7 linked regions of the Callithrix jacchus genome follow. The protein of the gene in region 7 interacts with the protein of the main gene of each other region in a biochemical or structural test. Links are inferred from orthologs where the notes say so. Each region holds a gene or a part of one and is shown on either strand. Other genes may lie near its edges. The genes, in order: LRRK2, MAPT, ATXN3, PSMD4, UBE2W, NQO1 and STUB1.

The links.
Region 1: the proteins of STUB1 (region 7) and LRRK2 form a complex in vitro, tested with the Homo sapiens proteins (3 studies listed by BioGRID and IntAct, with this or other methods). The link is inferred for Callithrix jacchus from reciprocal best matches to the Homo sapiens genes STUB1 and LRRK2.
Region 2: of the proteins of STUB1 (region 7) and MAPT, one has a biochemical effect on the other in vitro, tested with the Homo sapiens proteins (11 studies listed by BioGRID, with this or other methods). The link is inferred for Callithrix jacchus from reciprocal best matches to the Homo sapiens genes STUB1 and MAPT.
Region 3: of the proteins of STUB1 (region 7) and ATXN3, one has a biochemical effect on the other in vitro, tested with the Homo sapiens proteins (6 studies listed by BioGRID, with this or other methods). The link is inferred for Callithrix jacchus from reciprocal best matches to the Homo sapiens genes STUB1 and ATXN3.
Region 4: of the proteins of STUB1 (region 7) and PSMD4, one has a biochemical effect on the other in vitro, tested with the Homo sapiens proteins (5 studies listed by BioGRID, with this or other methods). The link is inferred for Callithrix jacchus from reciprocal best matches to the Homo sapiens genes STUB1 and PSMD4.
Region 5: the proteins of STUB1 (region 7) and UBE2W form a complex in vitro, tested with the Homo sapiens proteins (7 studies listed by BioGRID, with this or other methods). The link is inferred for Callithrix jacchus from reciprocal best matches to the Homo sapiens genes STUB1 and UBE2W.
Region 6: of the proteins of STUB1 (region 7) and NQO1, one has a biochemical effect on the other in vitro, tested with the Homo sapiens proteins (2 studies listed by BioGRID). The link is inferred for Callithrix jacchus from reciprocal best matches to the Homo sapiens genes STUB1 and NQO1.

What each region holds. Positions count from the first base shown.
Region 1 is NC_133510.1:35,407,594-35,411,093, forward strand, and holds part of LRRK2 (leucine-rich repeat serine/threonine-protein kinase 2), read right to left. Parts: intron 2,731-3,500; coding exon 2,549-2,730; intron 397-2,548; coding exon 167-396; intron 1-166. UniProt on the Homo sapiens protein: Serine/threonine-protein kinase which phosphorylates a broad range of proteins involved in multiple processes such as neuronal plasticity, innate immunity, autophagy, and vesicle trafficking.
Region 2 is NC_133506.1:86,763,000-86,766,499, reverse strand, and holds part of MAPT (microtubule-associated protein tau), read right to left. Parts: intron 2,290-3,500; coding exon 2,074-2,289; 3' UTR 1-2,073. UniProt on the Homo sapiens protein: Promotes microtubule assembly and stability, and might be involved in the establishment and maintenance of neuronal polarity.
Region 3 is NC_133509.1:126,952,602-126,956,739, forward strand, and holds the start of ATXN3 (ataxin-3), read right to left. Parts: upstream 2,801-4,138; 5' UTR 2,731-2,800; coding exon 2,707-2,730; intron 1,415-2,706; exon of another isoform or gene 1,276-1,414; intron 1-1,275. UniProt on the Homo sapiens protein: Deubiquitinating enzyme involved in protein homeostasis maintenance, transcription, cytoskeleton regulation, myogenesis and degradation of misfolded chaperone substrates.
Region 4 is NC_133519.1:11,149,406-11,153,607, forward strand, and holds the start of PSMD4 (26S proteasome non-ATPase regulatory subunit 4), read left to right. Parts: upstream 1-1,402; 5' UTR 1,403-1,428; coding exon 1,429-1,454; intron 1,455-1,704; exon of another isoform or gene 1,705-1,761; intron 1,762-2,359; exon of another isoform or gene 2,360-2,470; intron 2,471-4,202. UniProt on the Homo sapiens protein: Component of the 26S proteasome, a multiprotein complex involved in the ATP-dependent degradation of ubiquitinated proteins.
Region 5 is NC_133517.1:29,573,169-29,577,259, forward strand, and holds the start of UBE2W (ubiquitin-conjugating enzyme E2 W), read right to left. Parts: upstream 2,801-4,091; 5' UTR 2,799-2,800; coding exon 2,697-2,798; intron 1-2,696. UniProt on the Homo sapiens protein: Accepts ubiquitin from the E1 complex and catalyzes its covalent attachment to other proteins.
Region 6 is NC_133521.1:27,293,949-27,298,074, forward strand, and holds the start of NQO1 (NAD(P)H dehydrogenase [quinone] 1), read right to left. Parts: upstream 2,801-4,126; 5' UTR 2,684-2,800; coding exon 2,677-2,683; intron 1-2,676. UniProt on the Homo sapiens protein: Flavin-containing quinone reductase that catalyzes two-electron reduction of quinones to hydroquinones using either NADH or NADPH as electron donors.
Region 7 is NC_133513.1:2,940,267-2,944,386, reverse strand, and holds STUB1 (E3 ubiquitin-protein ligase CHIP), read right to left. Parts: upstream 2,801-4,120; 5' UTR 2,679-2,800; coding exon 2,520-2,678; exon of another isoform or gene 2,375-2,519; intron 2,081-2,374; coding exon 1,882-2,080; intron 1,797-1,881; coding exon 1,631-1,796; intron 1,564-1,630; exon of another isoform or gene 1,436-1,563; coding exon 1,348-1,435; exon of another isoform or gene 1,184-1,347; coding exon 1,127-1,183; exon of another isoform or gene 1,053-1,126; coding exon 936-1,052; exon of another isoform or gene 876-935; coding exon of another isoform or gene 854-875; coding exon 728-853; 3' UTR 477-727; downstream 1-476. Other genes in the region: JMJD8 (jmjC domain-containing protein 8), read left to right, coding at 1-56, 134-268, 346-426. UniProt on the Homo sapiens protein: E3 ubiquitin-protein ligase which targets misfolded chaperone substrates towards proteasomal degradation.

The sequences.
Region 1 (3,500 bases), on a different chromosome or scaffold from region 7:
TTCTTCTCCATTCTGGAGGCTGGAGTAAAATGAGGAGAAGTGAAGGGCTTTGGAATAATTCCATACAGTCTACCAGTTCTCTGGATATTAGAACAGAAAGCTCAGTTTTTTTAAACCCTGTTTATAACAAGTGGTAAAAGTGAATTTTAAAATTCTATAGAAATACCTGCAAAATCCCACACATTTAGAACGAGGTCTCTCTTTCTTTTGCCTCTTATTTGGATAGGCCAGTCTTTCACATCTATGCCAACTGTGGCACTCTGCATTCCAAGATCTGATTTCTTGATTTTCATTAACTGTTGCAATAAGGTGGTTTTACCACTCCCAGTATTTCCCACAATCATTAGTTTCATTCGGTTATAGGGTACAGCCTTTTTTAACCGCTGTTGAAGAAACCTAGTATTTGAAAGATAAAAATAAAATAATAAACCGCTTAAAAGTACATGAGATTTAAGTGAGTTGTTTTGCATGTAACACTATTCTAAGATATAGTTTCTAAAAGAGCGCATAGCTCATATAACTAATAATGAGTTATATAACTCATTAGTTATATATATATATAACTAATAACAATACGCCTTTCAGTGTATTGTTAATGCATATATTTTGCTAGAGATTTTAGTGTAGTTGATAGTGTTTGGTAGAATTACCAATATAACATGTTACACTACCACCAGAAATAATCAAAAGGCCAAAATGTGTTTCCAATACTAATCAGCATACAATACGCAATATGTATACATCTATATATACACACATATACATACATATGTGTATACATATTTGAATTTCTTTTAATAGTATTAAAAACCTTATAAAGTATAAAATTTCACAAAGTCCATATGACATAAAAACAAGATAAAAATATGTATACTGTAATAATAAACCTTGATAAGGTCATATTAGTTCTACATGTGTCTATATGGTCATATGTAGAATATAGGATGTATAGATAGATATATTTCACAAATGCATATAATAGTATATACAGATAGTGAGATCATATTACATCATACATAAATACATATAAACTATTATACTATCAGAAGATGTTAACATGGTTTCATTCCTAATGATCTTAACATAAAAACTGAACTAAATAGAAGTGTTTAGGTAGCTAAAAAATGACCTTTAAACTAACAGTAGATTTAAAGTGTTATCAAAAATATAATAAAAATAGAAAGACATATTTTGAAATATGTTAAAGTGTTGCCGCCATTTAAAATTAGAGAAAACCTAAATAAAAAATGAATTTTACATCGGAGTAGTGACCGATCTCTGACCAACATTTCTGATGATATAACTGAAAAGCAACATTACTTTTCTTCATTTTTTATTTCTTAAGATGGCAGCACTATTTGAAATATGTCATTCTTCAAAAAGCAAATGATGCCTACAATTTCTAATCCGCTCTAGGGTCTTTCTGTCTTTCCTGAAAACCTTAAACATGTTTAAAATATTTAACATATTTAGTTATGTAGCTTTAAAATACAGCATAATACACTGAAAGCTAGTTCTGCTAAACGTTTAGTAAGAATTGAACCAATTTTTATATGGCCAACTTTTCCACTTTCAAGAGGGAAAAATAATTGTGTAAAATGAAGGGTAGTCACTTTTAGCACAAAAGTTAAACTCTTTCCTTTACAATGAAATGAAGCTCAAGAATTCAGAAAACCAAATCCTTCCTCATAAAAAGATATAAAGTTAAATATAAATTTAAGAGACTTTAGGCGGAAGAGAATGAGTAAGCATAAAACACAGGTAATTAAACAACTATTAATTCTATGCCAGGCACTGTGTTTGGTGCCAAGATTTGAATAGTGAGTGAACACAGCCATGGTCTCTGCCTTGGTGCACATTACAGTCTAGCTGGGAGGTGACGACAGAGCTGAGGTCTGCAATGTTAATACAGTAACTGTGGGAAAGGGAGCAAAGGATTTTATGAGAAAATAATAAGAACAATGTGCTGAAAGGGAACAAAAAGTGGGATAAAATCCATTATTAAAGATATTTAAAGTGTTTCAAGTGTAAAGACCAGAAACAGCGATACTTGAGAAGTTTTGGTAGTTTCAGAGCTGATCAAGGTGAGTAGATTACTCATCCTAATGAGCAAAATAGAAGTTAGTGATTTCACATGATGTCAGTAACTATAATGCTTTAAGATGTAAGAGGCATATGTTTACTAGTTGCTATATGAAATACAGTGTGATAAGTTATTATACCGTGCCATATTTCTTTAGATTGTGTAATTGGTAACAAGAGACCGAATAACAATACATATTTTCTTTCAGAGTCTACTCCACTAAAAAGAAAGAGAAGGCAAAAAAGTCACTCTCAATGTTACCTGGCTAAGAAGAATGAAAAATCTCTACAGTGGCACCATAGAAACACATTCACTAAATGAAAGGCAAATGACACATAGCACATTAATGTCCAATATTACTATTGATTTTTTTCCCTAAAGCATAACAATATATGTCCATCGAAGTCACAGAGTGGAAATCTGAAATAAATTTGATAAAAACAAATAGAAATTAAATAATCAAACCTTATGATGTCTTTGGCTTTACATCCTATGTGTTTAAAATCAAAGTTAAGACGTAGTTCATCCAAAGGAAGGTCCCATATTTTGCTTAATTTCCCCATTTCATTGGGAAAGGATCTTAGTTCCAAGTTGTAACTGACATCCAGAGATGTCAGATTTTCAAGACAGCCAATCTCAGGAGGAATCTTAATGGAATAAAAAAGGGCAAAACCTGTTGGTGGGAAGTAAGAAATGTGTTCTGCCAAAAAATAGATGATAAGCAACAAGAAAGGCTCACAGATTCCATCAGCAGCTTGCACGAACTTTCAACAGAGTTCTAAAACTTTCCAAAGGCTTGTCAGAAGTTGTCAGTATGTGTTTAAAAACATAAAAACTTATATCTAAAACCTTACTCCCAAACAATCTAAGTCACTTATCTGTAATCTTTAAAAACCCAATCTCCTTTGGTAACATACTTCATCTCTTCAAGACATTGAAAGTAAGGAATTTCTCACCACAAAATGGATTTGGTTATCCAAATCCATTATCTGTGGCTTCATTCTGCTCCTTCAGTAAAGGCAGGAAAGCCTAGTCATCACAAACTTGCACGCAACTTAGTGTTCTCAAAGTACAGCGACATGCTTATAATTTAGGCGGCATCCTAATTGGAGTGCTTTCTTCTCTGTTCAGATCTTTAAGCAATATATATTATAATAGAAAACAGAGCCAGGCGCGGTGGCTCACGCCTGTAATCCCAGCACTTTGGGAGGCCGAGGCTAGTGGATCACGAGGTCAAGAGATCCAGACCAGCCTGGTCAACATGGTGAAACCCCGCCTCTACTAAAAATACAAAAAATTAGCTGGGCATGGTGGTGCGTGCCTGTAATCCCAGCTACTCAGGAGGCTGAGGCAGGAGAATTGCCTGAACCCAGGAGGCGGAGGTTGTGGTGAGCCAAGATCGTGCCATTGCACTCCA
Region 2 (3,500 bases), on a different chromosome or scaffold from region 7:
GTCCTAATCCTGTGCTTCAGGCCCTCACAGCTGAAGGGCCTCCTTCGATGCTAGAATCTGGTCTCTGTTGGGTCCCAGGTGCTGATGAAAGCCTTATAAAACTTGGGAGGCCCCAGCAGGTTGGAGCCACACTGGCCTGGAACTGAGTCCCAGCATGGGGGTGAGAGACACCTTGTGAGGGTGGCTTAGAAACCTCTTTACAAGCATTTCAAGATACATGCGTCCTTTTTTTTTTTTTTTTCACTATCATAGTCACTCTGGTGAATCCAAGCATTAACAGACAAATCCAACTACAACGCAACAGGGTACAGATGGGGAGGGCAGGGCAATATCTATGTATATGTTTAGCTGCTCCAGCAGAACAGACAGCATGGCTTCCAGCTGGGACTGGGGGGAAAACCATTTCCGAGGGGGCGTGTTCCCCTTTCGGGGGTGTGGAGGGCTGATTCTATGCATGTGGAGCTGAGCAGCGGCTGGGCTGTCTGGGAGGCTGGCAGCCACAAGCTGGGGTAGAAGTGGGAGACAGCGGGACTGTGGGCCTGCCCTGGGTGCCTTGCCCACCTGTCCTAGTGCCATGACTGACAACCAGGACACCCAGCCTCCTGCTGCCAGCTCAGCACCGGAAGGGGCCAGGCCTTCTGGGGGCAAAGGGCTCTCTCCACATCAGCAAGGTAGAAACATCTAGGGTCACAGCTGAGCAGTGCCCTGGCTCACATCTGTGAAGGGAGGACGAGGCAGGGAACAGAATCAGGTCATGAGATTCGTGGTGAGGGGCACACCAGTTAGATGACTGACACTGAGAGTGAGAGGCTGGGGTCCCACTCTTGTGCCTGGATTTTGCCTTCCCTTAATTTTGCCCTCAGTATGGAGTAGGTACCTCCCGAAGCCAACCTCCCGCAGGGTCATTACTGATAAGTAGGTGGTGACATGGTGACGTGATGTGGGATACAGGCAGTGAATGGGCTCTCATGGCAAACAGTGGCACGGCGGGGCAGACGGGTGATGGCAGTGGCCATGGGAAGGACAGGAGGCTCAGGACCCACTTCCCAGACCCCTGTACACTCCAGAGATGCCGGTGGCCCAGGCTTGGAAACAGGTGGATGTCTCCCAATAGGCACAAGTCCTTACAAAGAGAACTGGTTAGCCCTAAAGTCCCAGGTCTGTGAGGTGGCCAAAATCGTGGCTGCAGTTCCAACCTTCAGAACTCAATAAAACAGGGTTTTGTGGAGCAGAGAGAAGTCCCTCAGCTCAGGCCCCCCACCCTGCAGAGAGGGAGGAAGAGGCCAGCGCCCTCAGATGTCAAGATCAGTCTTCTCCAAGGAAATCATCCATGGGGCACCACCCTCCCGCCGGCCTGCCTTCTCCTCTTGCCCGCTGTCCCTTCTCCCACAGGCTGCCCAGCAGAGGGTGGCACACCGACCCGTAGCAGGCCCCAGCCACAAAGGACAGGCACCACTTGGTCTGAGATGCTGCAGGCAGCGGAGGCCTTGGCCCTCCCATCGGCATGGAGTGGGGCAGCATCTCCTCTCCAGCATGTGGCTTCCTCTCCCCTCTGCCCAGCCCCTGCCTTGGCCTCCCACTCCACCCCCGTCACACTCACACAAGGCTGACATCATCTGCCTGTGGCTCCACAAACACACCAAGTTTCAAATCTTTTGTTGCTGCCGCTGCCTCTGTGACACCCCCTGGATTGGGCCAGAGGTGGTGGACACCCCCAGTCCCTTGAAATCCCCCAGAAGCAGCTTTCAGAGCCTCTCCTCCCTCTTCTACACAGAGGGAGGGAAAAAATCAAAAGGAATTGCCCTAGGAAATGTTGGGTGTGGCCATGTTTTTGAGTGTTTTTAAAAAATATTAGCCCACCCATCAATTTGGAAAGATGAAATTTGCTCTTATTCCCATCACTGATTTTGAAGTCCCGAGCCAAAGCCGAGCAACAAAAGCATGTTAAGTGATTAACCGAACTGCGAGGAGCAGCTGGGGGCAGAGGGTGGGGGCCGGGTCATTATTCTTTTTTTTTCCACACACTCTCACTCTCTCTCCTCTCCACGATTACTGACTGCCCCGGAGGCCTGATCACAAACCCTGCTTGGCCAGGGAGGCGGACACCTCGTCGGCTAACGTGGCAAGCTGGGGCGAGTCTACCATGTCAATGCTGCCGGTGGAGGAGACGTTGCTGAGGTGCCGTGGAGATGTGTCCCCAGACACCACCGGAGACTTGTACACGATTTCCGCCCCGTGGTCTGTCTTGGCTTTGGCGTTCTCACGGAAGGTCAGCTTGTGGGTTTCAATCTTCAAGGAGAAGAGGGAGGGTGAGATAAAGTGCCAGAGAAAGGGAGACAAGCCCTGCCAACTGTCCCGCCAGGTCTGGCCCACAGTGCCAAGGACTGGTTTTGTTTTTGAGACAGGGTCTTGCTCTGTCGCCCAGGCTGGAGTATAGTGGCACAATCTCACCTCACTGCAGCCTCAACCTCCTGGGCTCAGGTCATTCTCCCACCTCAGCCTCCCGAGTAGCTAGGATTACAGGCATGCACCACCACACCTGGCTAATTTTTTGTATATTTAATAGAGATGGTGTTTTACTATGTTGCCTAGGCTGGTCTCAAACTGTTGGACTCAAGTAATCCACTTGACTCGGCCTCCCAGAGTGCTGGCATTACAGGTGTGAGCCACCACACCTGGCCAGGAGCTGTTTTTAGTGTCTTCCAAATGGTAATACCTGTGTCCACTCCTCCCCTGATCTGCCTCCCAGGCACCCAGATACCCTCCCCAGAGACAGTGGTCATTTTCAGTTCCTTATGGATCCTCCAGAGATATTTCATCTATAAACACATGTGTGAGTACATACATACAAAGGCTGCTTAGTATTCCCTCCCCGTGGATGTACCAAAAGGCATCTACTCTGTGGCTGGAGGTTTAGGCTGCTCCTGCCTTTGGTGATTACAGGCAATGGTGTGTATGAACAACAGGGATAAACAACCCTGTATGAACATGTCACACACGTGTAAGTGGGTCCTAGAAGTAGAGCTGTTAGGTCAAAAGGCATGCACATTTTGAGACATATTGCCAGATTGCAAAGGAAAATGTGGAAAGAGAAGCTGGAGAAGATCAAGGATGTCTCCCAGAGCCACTGATGCCCAGACATAAGCCACACAAATTCCTCCTGTTTGCCAGTGACTGATGAGTTTGGAGGTGGCAGCAACTGTGGGCAGTGCTGGCAGGCGGGCCACAAAACATGACGTGACAAAGGCCTGTTTGTGGGTGGGTGGGTGTATGATTTAGGATGGGGATTGTCTAGTGACTTATCTATCCATCTATTATCTATCTGTCATCTACCTATCTACTTGGAGATGGGGATCTCACTATATTGCCCAGACTGGCCTCAAATTCCTGGGCTCAAGCAATCTTCCCACCTTAACCTCCTGAGCAGCTGGGACTACAGGTTCATGCCACTGTGTCTGGCTGAAGCCCTTTTGAAAGTAGAGAGACATGACATAGCCAGG
Region 3 (4,138 bases), on a different chromosome or scaffold from region 7:
CTTTGGGAGGCTGAGGCAGGCAGATCACTTGTGGTCAGGAGTTCAAGACTACTCTTGGCAAACATGGTGAAACCCCGTCTCTACTGAAAATACAAAAAATTAGCCAGTCATGGTGGTGGGCGCCTGTAATCCCAGCTACTCAGGAGGCTGAGACAGGAGAATCGCTTAAACCAGGGAGGCGGAGGTTGCAGTGAGCTGAGACTGTGTCATTGCACTCCAGCCTCGGCAACAAGAGCAAAACTCTGTCTCAACAACAACAACAACAAAATACAAAAATTAGCTGGTCATGATGGTGGGCGCCTATAATCCCAGCTACTCAGGAGGCTAAGGCAGGAGAATCACTTGAACCCGGGAGGTGGAGAGTGCAGTGAGCCAAGATCACGCCACTGCACTCCAGCCTGGGCAGGAGAGAGAGACTCCATCTCAAAAAACAAAAACATCAACCTAAATTGTTGAATCTTCATTTGCTATGTACATACAACTTGATGATAACATTAAATGTATTCCTGAAGTATCTGTAGGCCTACACACATGCTAAGAATTAAGAGGGACTTCTTTCAGGTAAGTAGATTTTCACTAGGCTAGCACCCAACTTTTTTTCATACCATGGTTCAGTAGAAATGTGTCCCAACTAGGTAACAATCAATATCGTTGAAAACCTTGTCTAAATCTCAGGAAGTAGTGTGGAACATATTTAAGGCCTTCCATGTTGAGATGTGGTCCCACATCAAAGCCTTTGAAAGTTAGTAACAAAAATACGGCTGGGTGCGGTAGCTCATGCCTGTAATCCGAGCACTTTGGGAGGCCAAGGCAGGTGGATCACCTGAGGTCAGGGGTTCAAGACCTGGGCAACATGGACCCTGTCTCTACTAAAAATACAAAAATTAGCTGGATGTGGTGGTGGGCACCTGTAATCTCAACTACTCTGGAGGCTGACGCAGGAGAATCCCTTGAACCAGGGAGGAAGAGGTTGCAGTGAGCCATGATCGTGCCACTGCATTCCAGCCTGGGTGACAAGAGCAAAACTTGGTCTCAAAAAAAAAAAAAAAAAATTTTTTTTTTAAGTACATGTGTATTTTCCACCCACTCTTTAATTACTGAGCCAAGTAATTAAATCTCTATTGTCTATGATTTGTAAGTCATGTCAATCAAACCAAAAGATTAATAACAACTATACGACTGAGTCTTTCCTCCCCCACTCTAAATCAGTCTATTTTAAAAGTTTCCTAGATGTTTTCTACAATTTAAAATATTGTACTTAACAATTTGTTCCAGGCACAGTGGCTGGCTAATGCCTGTAATCACAGCACTTCGAGAGGCTGAGGTGGGAGAATCACGAGTCCAGGAGTTTGAGACAAGCATGGGCGACACAGCGAGACCCTCATCTCCACACACACACACACAAATTAGCTGGCCATGGCGATATGCACCAGAAGTCCCAGTGAGGCTGAGGCAGGAGGATCGCTTGAGCCTAGGAGGTCAAGGCTGCAGCGAGCCAGGATCTCTCCACTGCACACCTGCCTGGGTGACAGAATGAAATCCCATCGCTAAAATAAAAAATTTTTAAATAGATTCATATTACAGATTTACATCTGGTAAATTTATTGCCTTTGCTTTATTTGTTGTGTGTGTGTGAATTTTAAATGTCTGGGATAATTAATCGTGATAATTACTGATCATTTACAAGTATTTAATTAAACAAAAACCCTTTGCTCCTCCTATTAAATAACAGCCTCGCCAGCAACTCCAAACACGAAACTATTATGAAACAAGACATCATATGCCAAAGTTGTCCTGGGGAAGGCTTCACTCACACACAAATGGCTGGATTAATAGCATGTGAGTAAAGACAAGTTTCTCCACTTATCACAAACAGTATCTTCAAGTGCATGGTCACTGAAGAGTTAAAGTGACAGCGGGCTAGGCAGACCACAACAAAATCATTCCAATCCACTCCTAATACCCAAACACAAAGCTGGCCGCCTGCTCCGGAAAGATGGGAGTACCCAAAGAAACCAAACCCAAACATCCCGTAATAAAAACTTGTGACGACTTCCCTGTTAAGGGACAAGCCGGGTTTCCTACTTCACTTCCTAAGTGTCAGGCCCCAGTGTGGGGGAGCCAAGGTCCCTTCCTTCGGGAGGCTTGCGGACCCAGTGCAGGGGAAAGACATGAACAAGACTCCAAAGATCTACGTGTAGGGAAGACTCTACACTGCAATATAGAATTGAGCAGTCCAGAGATGAAAAAGTTAATTCTGCCAGGAATGGGGTAGGAGGGGTCGAGGGAGATGTCCCAGAGGTCACTCTAGCTAGACCCTAGGGAGAGAGAAGGCTTGCGGAGGTCAAAGAATCCTTCGAAAAGCGATTGAAAGTGACGGAAAAAGGCAGAAGCGAACCCACTAGGCGCCACCCCACTCCCTTGTCCCGAGACGCCCCGGCCCCGCCCATACACCCTCCCGGCTTCCCGGGCGGGGGCCTAGGAAGCAGCGGGGGAAGTGGGGGATTCTGTGATGCTCCCCTTCCAGAGCCGAGGAGGCAGGAGGCTGCGGGGTCGCCCCTCGCCCGGCGAGATCCGGATGGGGGCGACTCGGGCCCCACCCAGCCCCCTGGGAGGTTGTGATGCCGCGCTCCACGCCCGCCACCGCGCGGCAGACAGCTCCCCACCGCACGGACATACAGCTCCCCACCGAACGCGGACACTCACTTTCTCGTGGAAGATGGACTCCATGTTTATTTGTCTGGAGCCAACGGCCCCCGCGCGGAACCACCCCCTCCAGCTCCGCCCCCTGCCCCTCTCCTCCGCCTATCCCGCCCCTCCCTGGTCCGCCCCAGTCTCCCCGCCCACGTGCAGTACGTAGACCAATCACCCGTGAGGATGTGAGTCACGTGGAGCAAAGAGCGAGTGAACGCCAGCGACACGTGACCTTGGTAGCCCGTCCTCCTATATTCTGTTAGCGGGCCTTCTGGGAGATGCTACAGCGCCACCTGCTGTTTGGAGGATCTGTTCCGCTTCCCACCCATTTCTATGGATTCTTAGGTTTCTGGCCGGAGGTCTGGACCACTCACCTGGGTTCTATGTTCTTTTTGTTTTCCACTTTATTTGAACTTTCTACTGTGTTCAAATAACTATTTATTATCTTTCTCCTCCTCCTCCAATTAAAGGTTGTTAAGCAAAGGTGTCATTACATTCTCCCAAAACCTAGCACTTGTATAAAAATGATAGCTAGGCCAGGGGTAGTGGCTCACACCTGTAATCCCAGCACTTTGGGAGGCCGAGGCAGGCGAATCACCTGAGGTTGGGAGTTCGAGACTAGCCTGACCAACGTGAAGCAACCCCCATCTCTACTAAAAATACAAAATTAGCTAGGCATGGTGGCACATGCCTGAATTCCCAGCTACTCCGTTGGCTGAGGCAGGAGAATCGCTTGTACCCAGGAGATGAAGGTTGGGGTGAGCTGAGATCGTGCCATTGCACTCCAGCCTGGGCAATAAGAGTGAAACTCCATCACACACACAAAAAAGAAAACAAAAAAGTTAGCTAATATTCATATAGGGCTTTCCATGAGCTAGGCACTTTTCTAATTGCTTTACACATATTATCAAATTTAATACAGCAAACTTTGATGTCGGTGTTGATGTTATTCATACACATGAGGAAACCAAGGCACAGAGAGATTAAGAAGAGTACAATGTCCAAGATAGTAAGTTACCTTGCTAGGATTCAAATTCAAGTGGCTTGTTACCAGCATAGGTGTTCTGGCCCTTTAGAGGGAAATTAGAGGTGCAGTGAATTGTGTGGGAAACGGGGAGGTAGCAGCAGTTTGATGAACCTTAAATGGAAGGATAGGCACACATCTTGCACCTGGAAACCAGATTAAGATGCACTTTTTTTTTTTTTTCTGAGACGGAGTTTCTCTCTCTGTCCATCTCACCAAAAAAAAAAAAAAAAAAAAAATGGCTGGGCACGGTGGCTGTCGCCTGTAATCCTGGCACTTTGGGAAGCTGAGGTGAGATCACCTGAGGTCAGAAGTTCAAGACCAGCCTGGCCAACATGGTGAAACCCCGTCTCTACTAAAAATGCAAAAATTAGTCAGGCGTGGTGGCGCACGCCTGTAACCCCGGCTACTCAAGAGGCT
Region 4 (4,202 bases), on a different chromosome or scaffold from region 7:
GGGTCCCTCTAGCGGTGAGCGGCGACTAGTGCTTATTCTCTAGCTGTGTGCTGTAATTTATATTCAGATACAAGTAGGGCCTATTAGTGTAAAACTAACTAAAAGGGAAATTAAAATCATAGGATAATAAAGTTGAAAATCGTCATCTGGTTTAATATTTTACTTTTTAAATTATTTTTGTTAATATTTTACTCTTAAGCATGTTAATCTCAGCTCTTCTGAAAATTATCCAGAGACGAAGTCTCGCTATTAGTTTTTTAGCCAGGTGTTGTAGTCGCAGCTACTCTGGAGGCTTAGGTAGGAGAATTGCTTGAACTCAGGAGGCAGAGTTTGCAGTGAGCCCAGAAGATCGCGCCACTGCACGCCAGCCTGGGCAACAAGAGCCAAACTCGGTCTCAAAAAATAAAGAAAAGAAAAAAACAAATATACAAATAAATTAAATGGAAGGGTATAGGGCTTGTAGTTAGATGAATAAAATGCTACAGGAAACTGAGAGCTCTAGAACGTCACTGGTGATCTCGACACTTTTTTTTTTTTTTTTTTTTTGAGATGAGTCTTGCCGTGTAACCTAGGCTGGAGTGCAGTGGCGCGATCTTGGCTCAGTGCAGACTCAGCCTCCCGGGTTCAAGCGACTCTCCTGCCTCAGCCTCCCGAGTAGGTGGAATTGCAGGCGTGTGCCACTGCACCCACCTATTTTTTTTCCTTCCTTCCTTTCTTCCCTCTCTCCTTCCCTTCCTCCCTTCCTCCTTCCTTCCCACCTTCCCTCCTCTCTCTCTCTCTCTCTCTTTTTTTTTTTCAGACGGAGTCTCACTCTGTCACCCAGGCTGGAGTGCAGTGGTGTGATCTCGGCTCACTGCAACCTCCGCCTCCTGGGCTCAAGCGATTCTCCTGCCTCTGCCTCCTTAGTAGCTGGGATTACGGGCGTGCGCCACCACGCCCGGCTAATTGTTGTATTTTTCGTAGAGACGAGGTTTCAGCATATTGGCCAGGCTGGTCTTGAACTCCTGACCTCAGGTGATCCGCCTGCCTTCACCTCCCAAAGTGCTGGGATCACTGGTGTGAGGCACCGCGCCCGGCCGATCCCGACACTTTTTTTTTTTAATGACAAAGCTAGAACAGACATAGAATTTTCAGATTCCTCCACAGCTCCCCTAAGATCCAGCCGGCGGGAAGCCCCAACTGAAAACAGCAATGGGAGGTAACGCGGAGGCTAGATCCTGCTTTTTTGTGTGTTACTGCGATTCCCTCTACTCCCAAAACGCCCCTTTTTTTGACGGCGCCTACAACTCCCAGAACGCAACGCGAGGGACGCAGGCGGAAGCAGCTGGCCAAGCTGAGGTCTGTGATTGGTGAAGAGCGATGGGCCAATTGGAAGAGTTGTTGCTAGGACGTCCCGGAGAACAGGTCGGGAGGGAGGAAGGTGGCAAGATGGTGTTGGAAAGCACTATGGTGTGGTGAGGCACTATCTCGGGGCTGGAGGGGCAGAGCTGGGTCCGGGCGCGTGTATCGCCGAGGCCGGGCGGGCCTGGGGTGGGGGCTGGAGGCTCATGGGCGAGAGGCGGCCCTGGGCCGGGAGGGAAGGAGCCCGCTCGACTCCCTGAGTCATCCCGGGGCCCTGGAGAAGCGGACAGGCCCGGGTTACCCCTGTTACCCCCAGGGGTATGGTCGTTGACCGGCCAGTCCTTCTGCCTATCTCTATTCCAGCGCCGTGTTCTTTAGAACAGCCGGATTCTGTCCTAAGTAATGCTTCTCGGACTCATTGTAAGTCTTCTGTCCTCCTTCGCAAAATAATGTCTGTTAGGAAAATAGATTATTAATCCCTTACTCTCTCCATTCCCTCGTCTCTAACTCTGTTACCTTTCCCTTTATCATCCTCAAAGTACCATCTACAGATTGCTTTTTATATACCATTTTGTTTACTTTATCTCACTTAGACCTCACAGCTACACCTTAGGGTAAATTCTCCATTTTACTGTTCAGGATACCGATTTTAAGTGGCTTGTCCAAAATCACACAGCTAGTTAAGTGGTGTAGTCAAGATTTAAACCCAGGGCTGTGTGACACAAAGGCTTTTATCCGACAAGTAGCTCTCCGTCAGTCTCAGGCTTGGGCTGAGTACCTATTACGAGTCACATTAGATGCTGAGGACATCAATTTTTGGAGGGTGTCAAGAATTCTAAGTGTAATCGTAGAGCGTAATACAGAATAGTAGATGAACACAAATCACCAATTGGGTGGAACAGACACCTATGAGATTTCTTCTTTTTATTTTTTGGGGAGAGCATAGCAGATAACATACAGGATACCCAGTGAAATATGAATTTCAGATAAATGATTAATTTTTTTTTTTTTGAGACAGCTCTGTTACCCGGGCTGGAGTGCAGTGGCGCGATCCAGCTCACTACAGCCTCCGCCTCCCGGGTTCAAGCGATTCTCAATGTTTGAACTAATTAACTTGCACCAACAGTGTGTGAGTATTCTCTTTTCTCACAATCTTGCCAGCATGTGTTATTTTTTGACTTTTTAGTAATAGCCATTCTGACTGGTGTGAGGTGGTATCTCATTGTGGTTTTGATTGGCATTTCCCTTTTTGAGAACGAGTGTGGCTCTGTCACCAGGCTGGAGTGCAGATGGCATGATCTCAGCTTACTGCAACCTCCACCTCCCAGGTTCAAGTGATTCTCCTGCCTCAGCCTCCCCAGTAGCTGGGACTACAGGCATGCACCGCCATGCCCAGATAATTTTTGTATTTTTAGTAGAGATGGGGTTTCACAGTGTTGGCCAGGATGGTCCTGATCTCTTGACTTCGTGATCTGCCCGCCTTGCCCTCCCAAAGTGCTGGGATTACGGTCATGAGCCACTGTGCCTGGCCTTGATTGGCATTTCTCTAATGATCATTGATATTGAGGTTTTTTTTATTTGCTCGTTGGCTATATGTATGTCTTCTCTTGAGAAGTGTCTGGCCGGGTGCAGCGGCTCACGCCTGTAATTCCAGCACTTTGGGAGGCTGAAGTGAGTGGATCACCTGAGGTCAGGAGCTCCTGACCAGCCTGACCAACATGGTGAAACTCCATCTCTACCAAATTTAATTAGATTCCACTTGTCAGTTTTGCTTTTGATGCAATTGCTTTTGGTTCCTTTGTCACAAAATCTTTGCCTATTCCTAAATCTAGGATGGTAGTGCCTAGGTTGTCTTTCAGGATTTTTTTTTTTTTTTTTTTTGAGACAGTTTTGCTCTTGTTGCCCAGCTGGAGTTCAATGGTGCAAGCTCTGCTCACCGCAATCTCCACTTCCCTGGTTCAAGCTTTTCTCCTGCCTCACTTCCTAGTAGCTGATATTACAGGCATACGCCACCACACCTGGCTAATTTTGTATTTTTAGTAGAGACAGGGTTTCTCCACGTTGGTCACGCTAGTCTCGAACTCCTGATCTCAGGTGATCCACCTGCCTGGGCCTCCCAAAGTTCTGGGATAACAGGTATGAGCCACCATGCTTGGCCTGTCTTCCAAGATTTTTATAGTTTTTGGTTTTATAGTAAGTCTTTAATTCATCTTCAGTTAATTTTTGTGTATGGAGTAAGAAAGGAATCCAGCTTCAGTCTTCTGCATATGGCTAGCCAGTTATCCCAGCACCAATTATTGAATAGGGAATCTTTTCCTCACTGCTTGTTTTTGTCAGCTTTGTCAAAGAGCAGACAAAACGTAGGCCAGGCACAGTGGCTCAAACCTGTAATCCCGGAACTTTGGAAGGCCGAGGTGGGTGGATCACGAGGTCAGGAGATCGAGACCATCCTGGCCAATGTGGTGAAACCCCATCTCTACTAAAAATACAAAAAATGAGCCAGGCGCAGTGGCATGTGCCTGTAGTCCCAGCTACTCAGGAGGCTGAGGCAGGAGAATTGCTTGAACCTGGTAGGCAGAGGTTGCAGTGAGCTGAGGTTGCGCCACTGCACTCCAGCCTGGGCGACAAAGTGAGACTCTGTCTTAAAAAAACAAACAAAACAAAACTAAGAACTGATGATTGTAGGTGTGCAGCCTTATTTCTAGGCTCTCTATTCCGCTTCATTGGTCTATGTGCCTGTTTTTGTACCAGTCCCATGCTGTTTTGGTTATTTCAGCCCTGTAGTAATAGCTTGAAGTTGGGTAACGTGATGCCTCTAGCTTTGCTCTTTTTGCTTAGAATTGCTTTGGCTTTTCTGACTC
Region 5 (4,091 bases), on a different chromosome or scaffold from region 7:
AAAAAAAGACACTACCAGAAAATCTACACTAGACATTTTAAAATACAAATAAAAAGGAAAGATTTTTTATTTTAATAAAAACAGGAAGCATCTGTTTTCCATTCCTCTAACCAGAAAACATAGACTAGAGAGTGATAAGATTTAGACAGAATACGTGACGGGAAAAACTTTAAAAAGTGATAAAACAGCCGGGGGACAGTGGCTCACACCTGTAATCCCAGCACTTTGGGAGAGCGAGGCGGGCGATCACGAGGTTAGGAGATGGAGACCATCCTGGCCAACATGGTGAAACCCCATCACTACTAAAAATACAAAAACATTTGCCAGGTATGGTGGCGTGTGCCTGTAGTCCCAGCTACTCAAGAGGCTGAGGCAGGGGAATCGCTTGAACCCGGGCTGCGGAGAACGCCGTTGAGCCGAGATCGTGCCACTGCACTACAGCCTGGGTTAGAGAGGATGAGTCCGTCTTAAAAATAAATAAATAAATAAAGGCCAGGCGCGGTGGCTCACGCCTGTATTCCCAGCACTTTAAGAGGCCAAGGCAGGCGGATCAGGAGGTCAAGAGATAGAGACCATCCTGGCCAACATGGTGAAACCCCGTCTCTACTAAAAAAATACAAAAATTAGCTGGGCGTGGTGGCGTGCTCCTGTAGTCCCAGCTACTCGGGAGGCTGAGGCTTGCTTAAAACCGGGAGGCAGACGTTGCAGTGAGCCGAGACCGTGCCACTGCACTCCACCCTGGCGCCTGGCGACAGAGCAAGACTCTGTCTCAAAAGCAAAAACCAAAGTGATAAGACAGTCTAAGGTAGTAACACTTAGGGCACAGGAAAACGCACTATTGCACTATCAATCAAGTATTTGTTTCCATTGCTTAGGACACTATGTAAAGTTCAAGATTACCAACTTCTCTCATAAACAAATCTGTCTTTACCAGACACTCAATCTAACCAGATAACACACTAAGTTCTCTTGTCAAATATTATCATAAGTATTGTGGATTTTAATGTTAATCTTTAGCCTCAAATTACGTTTTAATCTTAATACCGATAATCTTAAGCTCATAAAAAATGTTTTCATCTTAACACATAAAATCTTTAAGTGGTCCTGTAGCCTATTGCGTCTACTGTTCAACTAGGATTCCACAGTTCCTTTTTCAGCCTCAAATGACGAAACTTCTCTAACGTCTCTGGGGAAACTAGTGTAAAGTATAACGTTTCCTGAAATTGTTCTTGTTTTTTCCCTGCACCATTCGTGACATCTCTTCAACTAGAAATGTTATATAAAACTTTTATGTTCTGCAGGCAAGTCCAGAGGGAGAAGCAAAGGTAAAAAGAATACTGTAAGGAAAACAGGTTGAAAGGGGAATAACATAAAAGCACAGGAGTAAATGTGAAGCAAAGAAATATTTATACAAAAGAGGAAGAAGATGCAAAAAAGGGAAGAAAAACACTTTCAGCAGAGAAAAGAAAAAAAAAAGGAGGGGGAACAGAGACTTGCTTCTTCCAGAAACAAAAGCAAAAAACACTTCTAAGAAAACGTGGTCTCTCTTTACCCAAGGGGATGTTAATAAAATGCTAAAAGGTATTCAGCTGACACTCCTATTTAGAGGTCTACTTTCTCTTCCTATGTCCTTTGATACTGCTCGTCTTCATCAATGAATTAAATGCAGGGTATACATAACACAGTCAATATCTACAAAACTACAATTGTGGTTGCCATCTTTGCCTGCAAAAATAATTAAAACAACTCCCTGGTTTCGGGGAAAAGGGGTAAATTAAGTTGGAAAACCAGAAAACCCCACTTGCTAAGTGGGGTAGAAATGACACAGGTTAACAAACGCCTCCTACCCATTTAGATTCTACTGAAGGTCTGGGTAGTTAAGGGCAACAACAAGTAGCTTTACCTCGACCGCAAGGGTGGGGCATTGTAGGGGAAAACAAAATAGAGGGCGAACTATCCCGAGAGGTTTAAGGGGGCTGAGGACTCGGCTCTCGGGAGACTGTCCATCAGGCGGTGGACTCGGGCAGCTTCGAGAGGAAGGAGACAGTGGACTGCTGGAGGAATGTCAGTGAGAATGCCGGTGCAGATGGAAAGAGAAGGTACCCACGAGCACAGAATTAAGAGTCAAGGGAAGAAGAGAGGCCCGGCGTGGGAGGCCGGAGCAGAGGCCGCTGAGCGCCGTCTGCAGCTAGCCGCCCTCTCCCGAGACGCCTTCTCGGCTCCACCACACTCAGCCCCTCGCCGCCCCTGCCCGGGCTACAACCGCGGGCGCAGCTGTTTCCGTCGGGCCAGGGACAGCGGGAGAAAGGCAACCGTGGGGCTGGCGGGGAGCAGACTGGCAGCGGGTGTGTGTGTGTGTGTGTGTGTGTGTGTGCGCGCGCGCGCGCGGAGCGGATTTTGAGACCGGAACGCCAGACTTCGCCCTTTCTCCCCCAAGCCTCCTTTATCACCCAACTTCCCAGTCGGCTGGTGTCCCCTTCGACCGACGGATACCGCACCACCCCCCACCCCACCACCCGACGCCTCTCGCCGCTTCTCACCCCTCCCCCGACGCCCTGAGCGGAGAGAAAACAGACTACCCTGACCGATCCCGAACCCGCCCGGGTGTCCCCGAATCGCGGACACCGCCCCCGCCCGAACGCTGGCACCCTCTTGGCGGCTCCCTGGCCCGCCCAGATGCAGCAAACTCCTCTCACCTGCATTGACGCCATGATGGAACCATCCCCCCACAGCCGGCGAGGCCAGAGACGCAGGGGGCGGAGCTGCCGTGCTCGCGTCACGCCGCGGGGGCTCAACATCCCCGGCGCGGGGGCGGGATCTGTAAAGGGAAGGGGATAGCGCGAGGGGATTGGCTGGCACGCTAGGCGAACGGGAGGAGGGACCGTGGGGCGGTGCGAGGGGACGGTAAATGGCGCTGTGAGTACCTTCGGTCACAGTTGGACTCGCAGGTCCCGAGTCTGGCTCCTGATTACTCTTTATCGAGGACACACGGCTCCAGTTTTGACTCGGCTACGGTTGTTTTCTTCGTCTGTACCGCGAAATCCTTATGACGTCCGGATCTGCGCAGCTTTTTTCTGTTCGTTTTGTTTTTCCAAGCACAGCTGTGCGGTACAGATTTTTCCCTTGGGATGTGCCTTCCCTACTACCAAGCCCACTCTCAGAGCCTTGGGGCCCCATAAAACTTCCCGCGCAGCTACTTTCTGGTCTTTGGAGACTTGGAAGGTTTCTTGGGGGATTTTTTTTTGAGACGAAGTCTCGCTCTGACGGCTTCTAGTATTCTTAATTTGGAGAAGAGAGACATAGGTTTCCTTGTACAACGGGATGAGGATGTAAGAGCAGAACAACACTGATATTTTAAAGGCGAGGATATTTAGATTTGTGGAGCTGAAACTTGCCTGAAAAGGGAGAGAAAATTTGGAAGTTTCTAAGCTGTGTGCAGTTTCTGCCCCTTACTCCAACTATTGTTGATACATGTGAAGTTTTAAACTTCACATGTATCAACAATAGTTACCGTTGTTGGGGCAGTCTAAATTTGATTAGCGAGTTGACCCCAGGCATTAATTTTTTTTAAATGTTATAATATACACTTATACCATTATGTCCAGACTTCTCTTAAGCCTATTTCGTGGTGGTTTTATGGTCATTTAGGGATTAACTTGGGTAGGGAAAGCTGAGCATACATAATTTATTTTAGGAATGCACCAGTTCTGCCAACATTTATCAGAAGTCACGTTTGAAGAAAGCTATTCTGGAACTGAAGATGTCATTGGTTTATGAGAGGAAAATGGAAGCCAAAAGCCTGCACCTCATGCTCTATCTTTAAAACTTAACGTGGCAGACACAATGAGTAGAAGGCTTTTATGTTACCAGAATGAAGGCTTAAAATCTGTCATTTTATTGACTCGGCTTTCGTTTTAGAAATTTCTTTAAGCTATAAATGCAATGAAGAATATCACTCACACTCTTAAAATAGATTACGTTCTTTGGAACTTCTCTAATCTGAAATGTGCTTAAAAAGAAAAATATATTTAAAATACGTCAGTTAGTTTATGGTATAATATTAAACACACTATCCATCACTAGGGAAGTTA
Region 6 (4,126 bases), on a different chromosome or scaffold from region 7:
GTGAACAGGCAATTGACAGAAAGGAAGTTTTCTGGGCCTGGAAGGTTCATTTACCCTTCCGGCCACACACCTAGCTGAACAACATGACCTGGGAAGAGTTAGAGCATTATCCTGAGAGGCCCCAGATGCATGCACAGATAACCTCCTCAGGGTACAGTGGCATTAGTGTGCTAGGAGGGGTAAGGGGCAAAGTTCAACAGAGGGCCGGGCGCGGTGGCTCACACCTGGAATCACAGCACTGTCGGAGGCCGAGAGGGGGGATCACTTGAGGTCAGGAGTTTGAGAGCAGCCTGGCCAACATGGTAAAAACCCGTCTCTACTAAAAATACAAAAATGAGCTGGGCATGGTGGCGTGCACCTATAATCCTAGCTGCTGGGGAGCCTGAGGCATGAGAATGGCTTGAACCTGGGAGGCACAGATTGCAGTGAGCCTATATCATGCCACTGCACTCCAGCCTGGGCAGCAGAGTGAGACTCCATCTCTGAAGGAAACCTCAGGACTTGAGGGCTGGCTCAAGCCCTAATGGAAGGGTTCTGAGAGGAGCTTGCCATTTGAGCTGAATCTTGGTATTGAACTCTTGGCCTCAAGCAGTCCTCCTGTTTCAGCCTCCAAAATGCTGGGATTATAGGCATGAGCCACCATGCCCAGCAGAAAAAAAAAAATGTTGTTTAATTAGCTGGGTTTCAAGTTGTTCTGCTCTGACCAAAAAAATTAGCCGGGTGTGGTGGCACACACATATAGTCCCAGCTACTCAGGAGGCAAAGATGGGACAATCACTTCAGCCCAGGAAGTCAAAACTGTAGTGAGCCCAGATCATGCCACTGCACTCCAGCCTGGGCGACAGAGCAAGACCCTGTCTCAAAAGGAAAGAGAGAAGTATGATAAGGGCAAGACTTAGCAGCAGTTTCCTGCATTCTCCTTCTGCCTTCTCGGCTCACTTGAATCCTCCAGGGAATATAAGTGCAAGCCAGATGCGTCTACTAGTTGCAAACAAAAAGCCTGGATGTTTCAGTTAACCTCAAGGTTTGGTTAGCTGTGTACAGCTAAAACTAATTATACAAGGTCCAAGTCTCCCCTTTTCCCTCGTTACCACCCGCTTTTTTGTGCTTAAACTACACAGAAACACAGAACACTCTGGAAGATTGAAAAGTCAGGAGTTAGCTCCTGCCCTAGTATTTGGAGGAGAGGGTGCCGGTGCCTCAGAGCAGCTGAAGAATGAAATACAAGGGAAGCAGCAGCCACCGCGTATGCAGGAAGCCTCTCAGCTCTCAGAACCTATGCCCTGCTGTCTTCCCCCAGCAACTTATGCTGGGCTTCTAATCCACAGGTTCCTCCCTTTCTTAGAGATCCTGACAAGTTTAGTTTGTCAACTGCAAGCGTGATCTCTTCCCCCACTCACTTTGACCAAGATGGGTTTCTTGTCTGTGCAGTTGCTTTTTATTTTCTTGAGATGGAGTCCTGCTGTGGCCGGGCTGGAGTGCAGTGGCACGATCTCCGCTCCCTTCAACCTCTGCCTCCCTGGTACAGGTGCATTTTTAGAGGCAGGACCAGGTTCACAGGGAAGGAAATTACAGAAAGGCAGAATTCTGCCCCAGCTGAGGCAACAGCTTTCTAAATCTTAGCACTGTCCAATCTCAGAGTGAAATTGTTTGGGAAACAGCTCTCAGTCCCTGCAATTGTCTCAGCTGGTTATTTATGCCTCAGGTAGAGTTAGGGTACCCTCTAAGTTCCCCTAGGGTTGATGGGCAAGTGGGGAGGCTCTATCACTGAAATGAACCCAATACCAGAAACAGATCCAGTGCTAGCCAATCAGGTTTGCCTGATCCAAGAGGCTTAATGGAAAATACCTCCCAAGGCTGGGCACAGAGACTTGAGCCTGTAATCCCAACACTTTGGGAGGCCGAGGTGGGTGGATCACTTGAGTCAGGGAGTTCGAGACCATGCTGACCAACATGGTGAAACCCCCATCTCTACTGAAAATACAAACTTAGCTGGGTGTGGTGGTGCACACCTGTAATCCCAGCTACTCGGGAGGCTGAGGCCAAAGAATCGCTTGAACCCAGTAGGTGAGGTTGCAGCGAGCCAAGATCGCACCATTGCACCCCAGCCTGGGCGACCAGAGCGAAACTCCATCTCAAAAACACAAAGCAAAATAAAACCTGAGCCTGGCAGCCTGGAGCTGGTTCTGGTCTCCGTCAAACTAAAGGCATCAGTTTCCTCCACTCCTGCCCACCAATCGCCTGATCTCATTTTCTTCAGAAGCCGGGAATCCACATTTTTAAGTGAAATCACCCATTTTAATGTTAGCAACTTATGTCAAAGTGTTTTAAATACTATAGACCAAAAGAGGTATAGACAGTGACCGCAAGCCTGATTTGGCCTCCGAGGGTCAGTTTCTGAACTAACCCCAGTTTTGGAGGGAATGTCTGCTTCTAAGGTCTGCTTCCTAAATGTCCACTAGAGTTCGTGGGGTGGAGTGAGGGAGTATCTGCGGCTCCCATACAAACAGAAGCTCTCCCCCTGCTGGAATCCGATCAAGGCTCATCCCAGGACCCTAATCTCTTCCTTTGTGCATTTTGAGTCAAGGAAAAACACTCAGAGCTAAGCCCTTACAACCACCTCCGCACACACCAGGTCTCCAGAAATGCAAAAACTTCCTCCTTGGCTGCACTCACCGGCCATGGCTCCGGGGCAGTCCAGGGCGCTGATTGGCTGGGCTCGTGGTTGCTGGGGCGACCCTGGCCAGATAGTAGGTTTTCCGGGTTGGTTTCAGGGGCTGCAACCAACCATGCAAGAGTCCCGAGTGCGCAGCGCATTCTCTCTTATATCTGCTGCCCCGCCCATTTGAGTTGGACAGCCAACCAGGGTGGTACCGAACGCCTGGTCCTGGGGCGCTGGGCAGAGGCTGCCGAGGCTACAGTTCCAGGAAGGGAGGGAGCCTGGGGGATGAAGGAGGGGCCCTTCCACTCCCGCTCACCCTAGCAACTGGTTGAAGTCGCGAAAAGTCTCTGGGGGTCGGGGGAGGGGTTTTGTGGGGGTGTGTGACAGAGACCTCAAAAATCTGGCTGGAGGGGCTAGGCAGGCCCATCTGCGCACTGTGTCCTGAGGGGCAAGGGGATGCAAGGAGGAGGTTGTTCCCAAGGAGTCCAGGGATCGGTTGGCCACACCCTTCGGGCCTTGGCAAGAAACCCGGCAGCAAAAGCTGGATGCAGATTACTGTGGTTTCCTAGGGTCAGATTTAGCTGAGTCACTGTGACTGGATTTGGAAGGCTAACAGCACTGAAGAGACTTGCTCCGTAGAAATGCGTTTGTTTCTTCCTTTTCTTTTCCTTTTTTTTTTGAGACGGGGTTGGTCTCGAACTCCTGACCTCAGGTAATCTACCCGCCTCGGCCTCCCAAAGTGCTGGGATTCCAGGAGTGAGCCACAGCGCCTGGGCCATTTCTTACTTTTCAAGATTCAGATTCTGCACTTGGGGGCACATACAATGTACTTCTGTGGGTGCCTGCCGCCAGCCTACCCCTGCTCCTCAAAGCAGGTAATTGGAAACTAATTGGTTTTGTTTCCCCATGAACTAAAGCAAGGCTGGTGTGGAGGTAGCAGTTACAGGGAAGCATTTAAAAAATAGCCAAAACAGAACCAAGTGTACTGGCTTTACACAAAAGCTCACACAAAGGGACAGAACAGAACAGAGCAAATAATTTAAATCTGGGCTGGAGGTGGTGGCCCACGCCTGTAATCCTAACACTTTGGGAGGCCAAGGCAGGGGAATCAATTGAGGTCAGGAGTTTCAGACCAGTCTGGCCAACCTGGTGAAACCTAGTCTCTGCTAAAAATACAAAAATTAACCAGGTGTGGTGGTGCACACCTGTAGTTCCAGCTACTTGGGAGGCTGAGGCAAGAGAATTGCTTCAACCCGGGAGGCAGAGGTTGCAGTGAACCGAGATTGTGCCACTACTGCACTCCAGCCTGGGCGACAGAGTGAGACTCTGTCTCAAGAAAACAAACAAACAAACAAAAAAAACTATAAAGTAACAATTATAGTGAAGAGGGGAGACATACTGTCAAAAGGTGAAGGAAAAATGACTAGAAAAAGTGGTAATTAACCATCAGAAGAATGACAGATG
Region 7 (4,120 bases):
GGGTGCCCTTCCACTGGCACGGGCCTGGGTACTCGGAGGTGATCTACGGCCGTAAGGTCAGCCCAGGGTGGGTGTCGGGGCTTGGGTGGATGACCCAAGTGGGCAAGGGTGACGCTGCTGCCCCTGCCCACAGCGCTGGTTCCTCTACCCACCTGAGAAGACGCCAGAGTTCCACCCCAACAAGACCACGCTGGCCTGGCTCCGGGACACATACCCAGCCCTGCCGCCGTCTGCACGGCCCCTGGAGTGTACCATCCAGGCTGGTGAGGTCAGTGGCTGGCAGGAGGGACCGGGCCAGGTCAGAGGCCCGCAGCTGATCTCGGCTGCACCCCCTTCCTTCACCAGGTGCTGTACTTCCCCGACCGCTGGTGGCACGCCACACTCAACCTTGACACCAGCGTCTTCATCTCTACCTTCCTTGGCTAGCCGTGGCAGCCGGCAGGCACTCCTGTCACACAGAGCACTTCTTCCCCAGCTTGTGCTCACGGATTTTATTACACAGACGGTGGCCGCAGCCCAGCCCACCCTCACCTGCTTTTCCAGCCCAGAATGGGGGACGGGGAGGATCACAGCCCAGCAAGAGCTATGCTGAGAGGGGAGCCGTCCAGAGCCCAACAGCAGAACTGGGGGGAAGGGAAAGGGTGGCCAGGGACACAAGCTATGTACAGGGGCTGGGGGCTTCTGCCCGTGGCCCTCCGGGGCCAGGACACTGGGCAGGGCGAGGAGCTCAGTAGTCCTCCACCCAGCCGTTCTCAGAGATGAATGCATCAATGACCTCCTTCATAGCCAGGTTGGGAATGAGCTGTTCCTGCGTCAGGGGGCTCCGGGTCACAGGGTCAAAATGGCCTACACGCTGCAGTGACAAGAGGCAGAGGCTGCTCAGCAAGCCTAGGACCCTGCTGCTGGCCCTGCCCACCCCCTGGCCCCAGCCTCACCTGCAGGTGCTCCTCGATGTCCTTGCGGTCGTAAGTGATGCCACTGGGTGTGATGCACGGCTCCCGCATCAGCTCAAAGCTGATCTTGCCACACAGGTAGTCAGGGATGTCGCGCTTCTGTGGCACATGGGCACAGGGTCAGAGGCTGGGAAGGGGCTGCTCCAGGACCTACCACCCACAGCAGCACTCACCTTCCTCTTCTCATCCACCTGAGAGAAGAGCTCATCCATGTCCGCCATGTATCTGTCCTGTGGAAAGTTGAGCAGTGCTTGGGAGGGACACCCCACTTCCCTCCTCCGTGGTACCCAGACCCAACACGAGGCAGGGACACACAGACCCACAGCAGGGTGGGGACGCTCCCGTGCCACGTGTGCACACACACAGACCCACATGTGGATGGGGGCACCCTCACGTGCTTGGCCTCAATGCAGGCCTGCTGGGCCCGGACGTGACTGTCGTCCTCGTCACCCTCGTGGTTCTGCTGGCACTCTTTCAGCTCCCTGGGGGATGACCAGGAGCCCGTCAGAGACGGACCTGGCCAGAAGATGTCTGACCACACCCCAGACTCAGGGCTAACATCCAGGCTTCTTCCCCACATGCACTGCTCGCCAGTAAAACTTTCAGTAAACATTCGTGTTGGCGGTTGGTTATTCAGAATTATCCCCAGACAGCGCGGCCTGGGGTAAGGGTCCCACCTCTCACGCTCCGCCGCAATGAGCCTCGAAAGGTAGGAGTGCAGCTCACTCTCCTGGTGGATGCGCCGCTCCTCGATGCTGTTCCAGCGCTTCTTCTTCGCGATTCGCAGAGCGCTGGGGATGTCGTCCCCAAAGTTCAGTCGCTGCTCCTTGGCCAGGCTGTAGGCTGGGGAACAAGGGCTTCCGGTCACGCTGGCCAGTCCAACCGCCTGGTCCCAGGGGCCCCGCACCCAGGCAGCTTGTCGGCCAACCTCGCTGCAAATTGGCGATGGCCTCATCATAGCTCTCCATCTCCAGCTGGCACTGCCCCAAGAAGAAGTGCGCCTTCACAGACTGCCCGTCCAGCTCCAGGGCGCGCCGGCAGTCGGCCAGGGCCTGCTCATGCTGCTGCATCTTCAGGTAGCACAGGGCCCGGTTGGTATAATACACGGCCACCAGCGGGTTCCGGGTCTAGGGACCAAGGCCGGGCCAGCCGCATCAGGCGTAGGCTCAGCGCGCCCCCTCTGTCCCAGGGCCCGTCCCAGCTTCTGCGATCTGGCTACGATCAAGAACCTAGACCTCTCAGTAGCCAAAGCCTCTGGGTCCAAGGATCTGCAGACACGGGACTACTGGCTGAGCCTACACACCTCACTCCGGTTGGTTCTGTAGAGTTTTCCAAATCTTTGGAGAGTCCCAGCTTTGGACCCTGGCCTCCCACCCACCCGGCCGGCCTCCATCTAGCATCCCACCCTCGTTCCCCGGCACCTGGCGCTGGGATCGAGAACCAATGCTGGGCTTTCGGAGCCCAGGATACCCGCCGCGGAGGAGCCAGACCCTCGGCGGGGCCGGCCGATCGCGGGCGTGGCCCTCCGACTCGCCGTCGCCGCCTTCCCCACGCGGGCGCACTCACGATCGCGCGGCCGTAGCAGGCCGCCGCCTCCGGGTACTTTCGGCCCACAAACAGACGGTTGCCCTGTTCCTTGAGCTCCTGCGCGCTCGGGCTCTTCTCCGGGCTTCCGCCGCCAGCGCCCAGCCGCGCGCCGCCCTCCTTCTCCTCCTTGCCCTTCATGGCGCCGAGCGGCACGGCCTGGGCTGCGCTCCCAAGCTCCGCGCCTGACGGCCCTGCACCCGAAGCCCGAGCCCGAGCCCTGCAGCCCGAGCCCACGATCAGCTCGGGCCCGGCCCAGCTCCGCCGCCGGAACTTCCGGCCGGGGGCGGGATCGGCGGGGACGCAGGCGTCGGGGGGCGGGTAGGGCCGCGCGTGCGCCCAACCAGCCTGGGCGGGGACAGTCGGCCCGCGACGTAGCTGGCTGCGAGGAACGCTCCGGTTCCCTGGCCCCGCGTTTTTCAGGGTCGGCATTCGCGGAGGCCAGCCCCGCCCCGCCCCGCCGAGGCCTCTCCAGAACTGGCCTCGGTGGCGGCCGTCCCATATATCCGGTTTTCTCCGTGAGGTGCCTCAGCCTTGGTTCGCTGAGGGCGTGCTTCCCTAAAAGCCTGTCCCGCCCACGTGGGATTCCGCCCCTGCCCCAACCCGTAAAGACCCCATCTGCAGAGGTCCCGCCCCCAGCAGCCCGCCCCGCCCCCAACAACAGGCCGCATCTGCGGCGGTCCCGCCCCCGGCACCCGCCCCCACTCCCAGCACCTGGCCCATCGGCAGAGGCCCCGCCCCCGCAGCCACCCCCATCGGCGGAGGCCCCGCCCCCAGCACCCGGCCACGCCCCCATCAGTCAGCCCCGTCTGCAGAGGTTCCGCCCCTGGCAGCCGGCCCCGCCCTCGGGGGGGGGTCGACTCCGTTTGCAGAGGTCCCGCCCCCAGCAGCCGGCCCCTTCCGCAGAGGCTCCGCCCCTGAGAGCCGACCCCTCCCCTCCACGTAACATGGCGGCCTCCCACGCGCTCTGGGGCTGTGGGGACCCCAGCGGCTTGCTGGGCTGCCATCCTGGAATGCCACCGAAAGGTGCTACGAGCGCGCGCGGGCCCCCGAGAGCGGCTGGAAGCCGTGGACCGTTGGTAGACTGGTAAGAGATAAAGGGATCCGTGGGGCGAGTGTCCCCGTGGCCGGACCTCCCCTCACCCCCTTTTCCAGGTAACGGGAGGAGTTGCTGGCGGCCATCAAGGGCCGAGCGGAGAAGCACGTGACGCGAAGGGAGCTGGAACGGCTGTTAGTCTAGAGGCTGCCGGTGGGGTGCGGCCCCGCCTCCTCGTGTGCGGGGCCTCCGTAGGGCGGGTCTTCAGGGAGTGGCGTCGGTGGGGCGGTGCTTCCTCGTGGGCGGGGCCTCCTAGGGGCGTGTCTTCGTGGGGGCGGGGCTTTGTCGTGGGGCGGGGTTCCTGGAGGGTCCACCACTCCAGGCATCCTGACCTGGCCTCCCACAGAGAGGCCGCTTTTGGCCATGTCTTCAGCAGCCTGTGGCCACCAATCCCCTGAGCTGGTTGTGCACCGCTTGACCTCCGCCTTCTGACTCCTGCCAGAGTCGGGGGCCGCAGTCATAAAGTTGTGTGCCCTCCGCGGTGTGG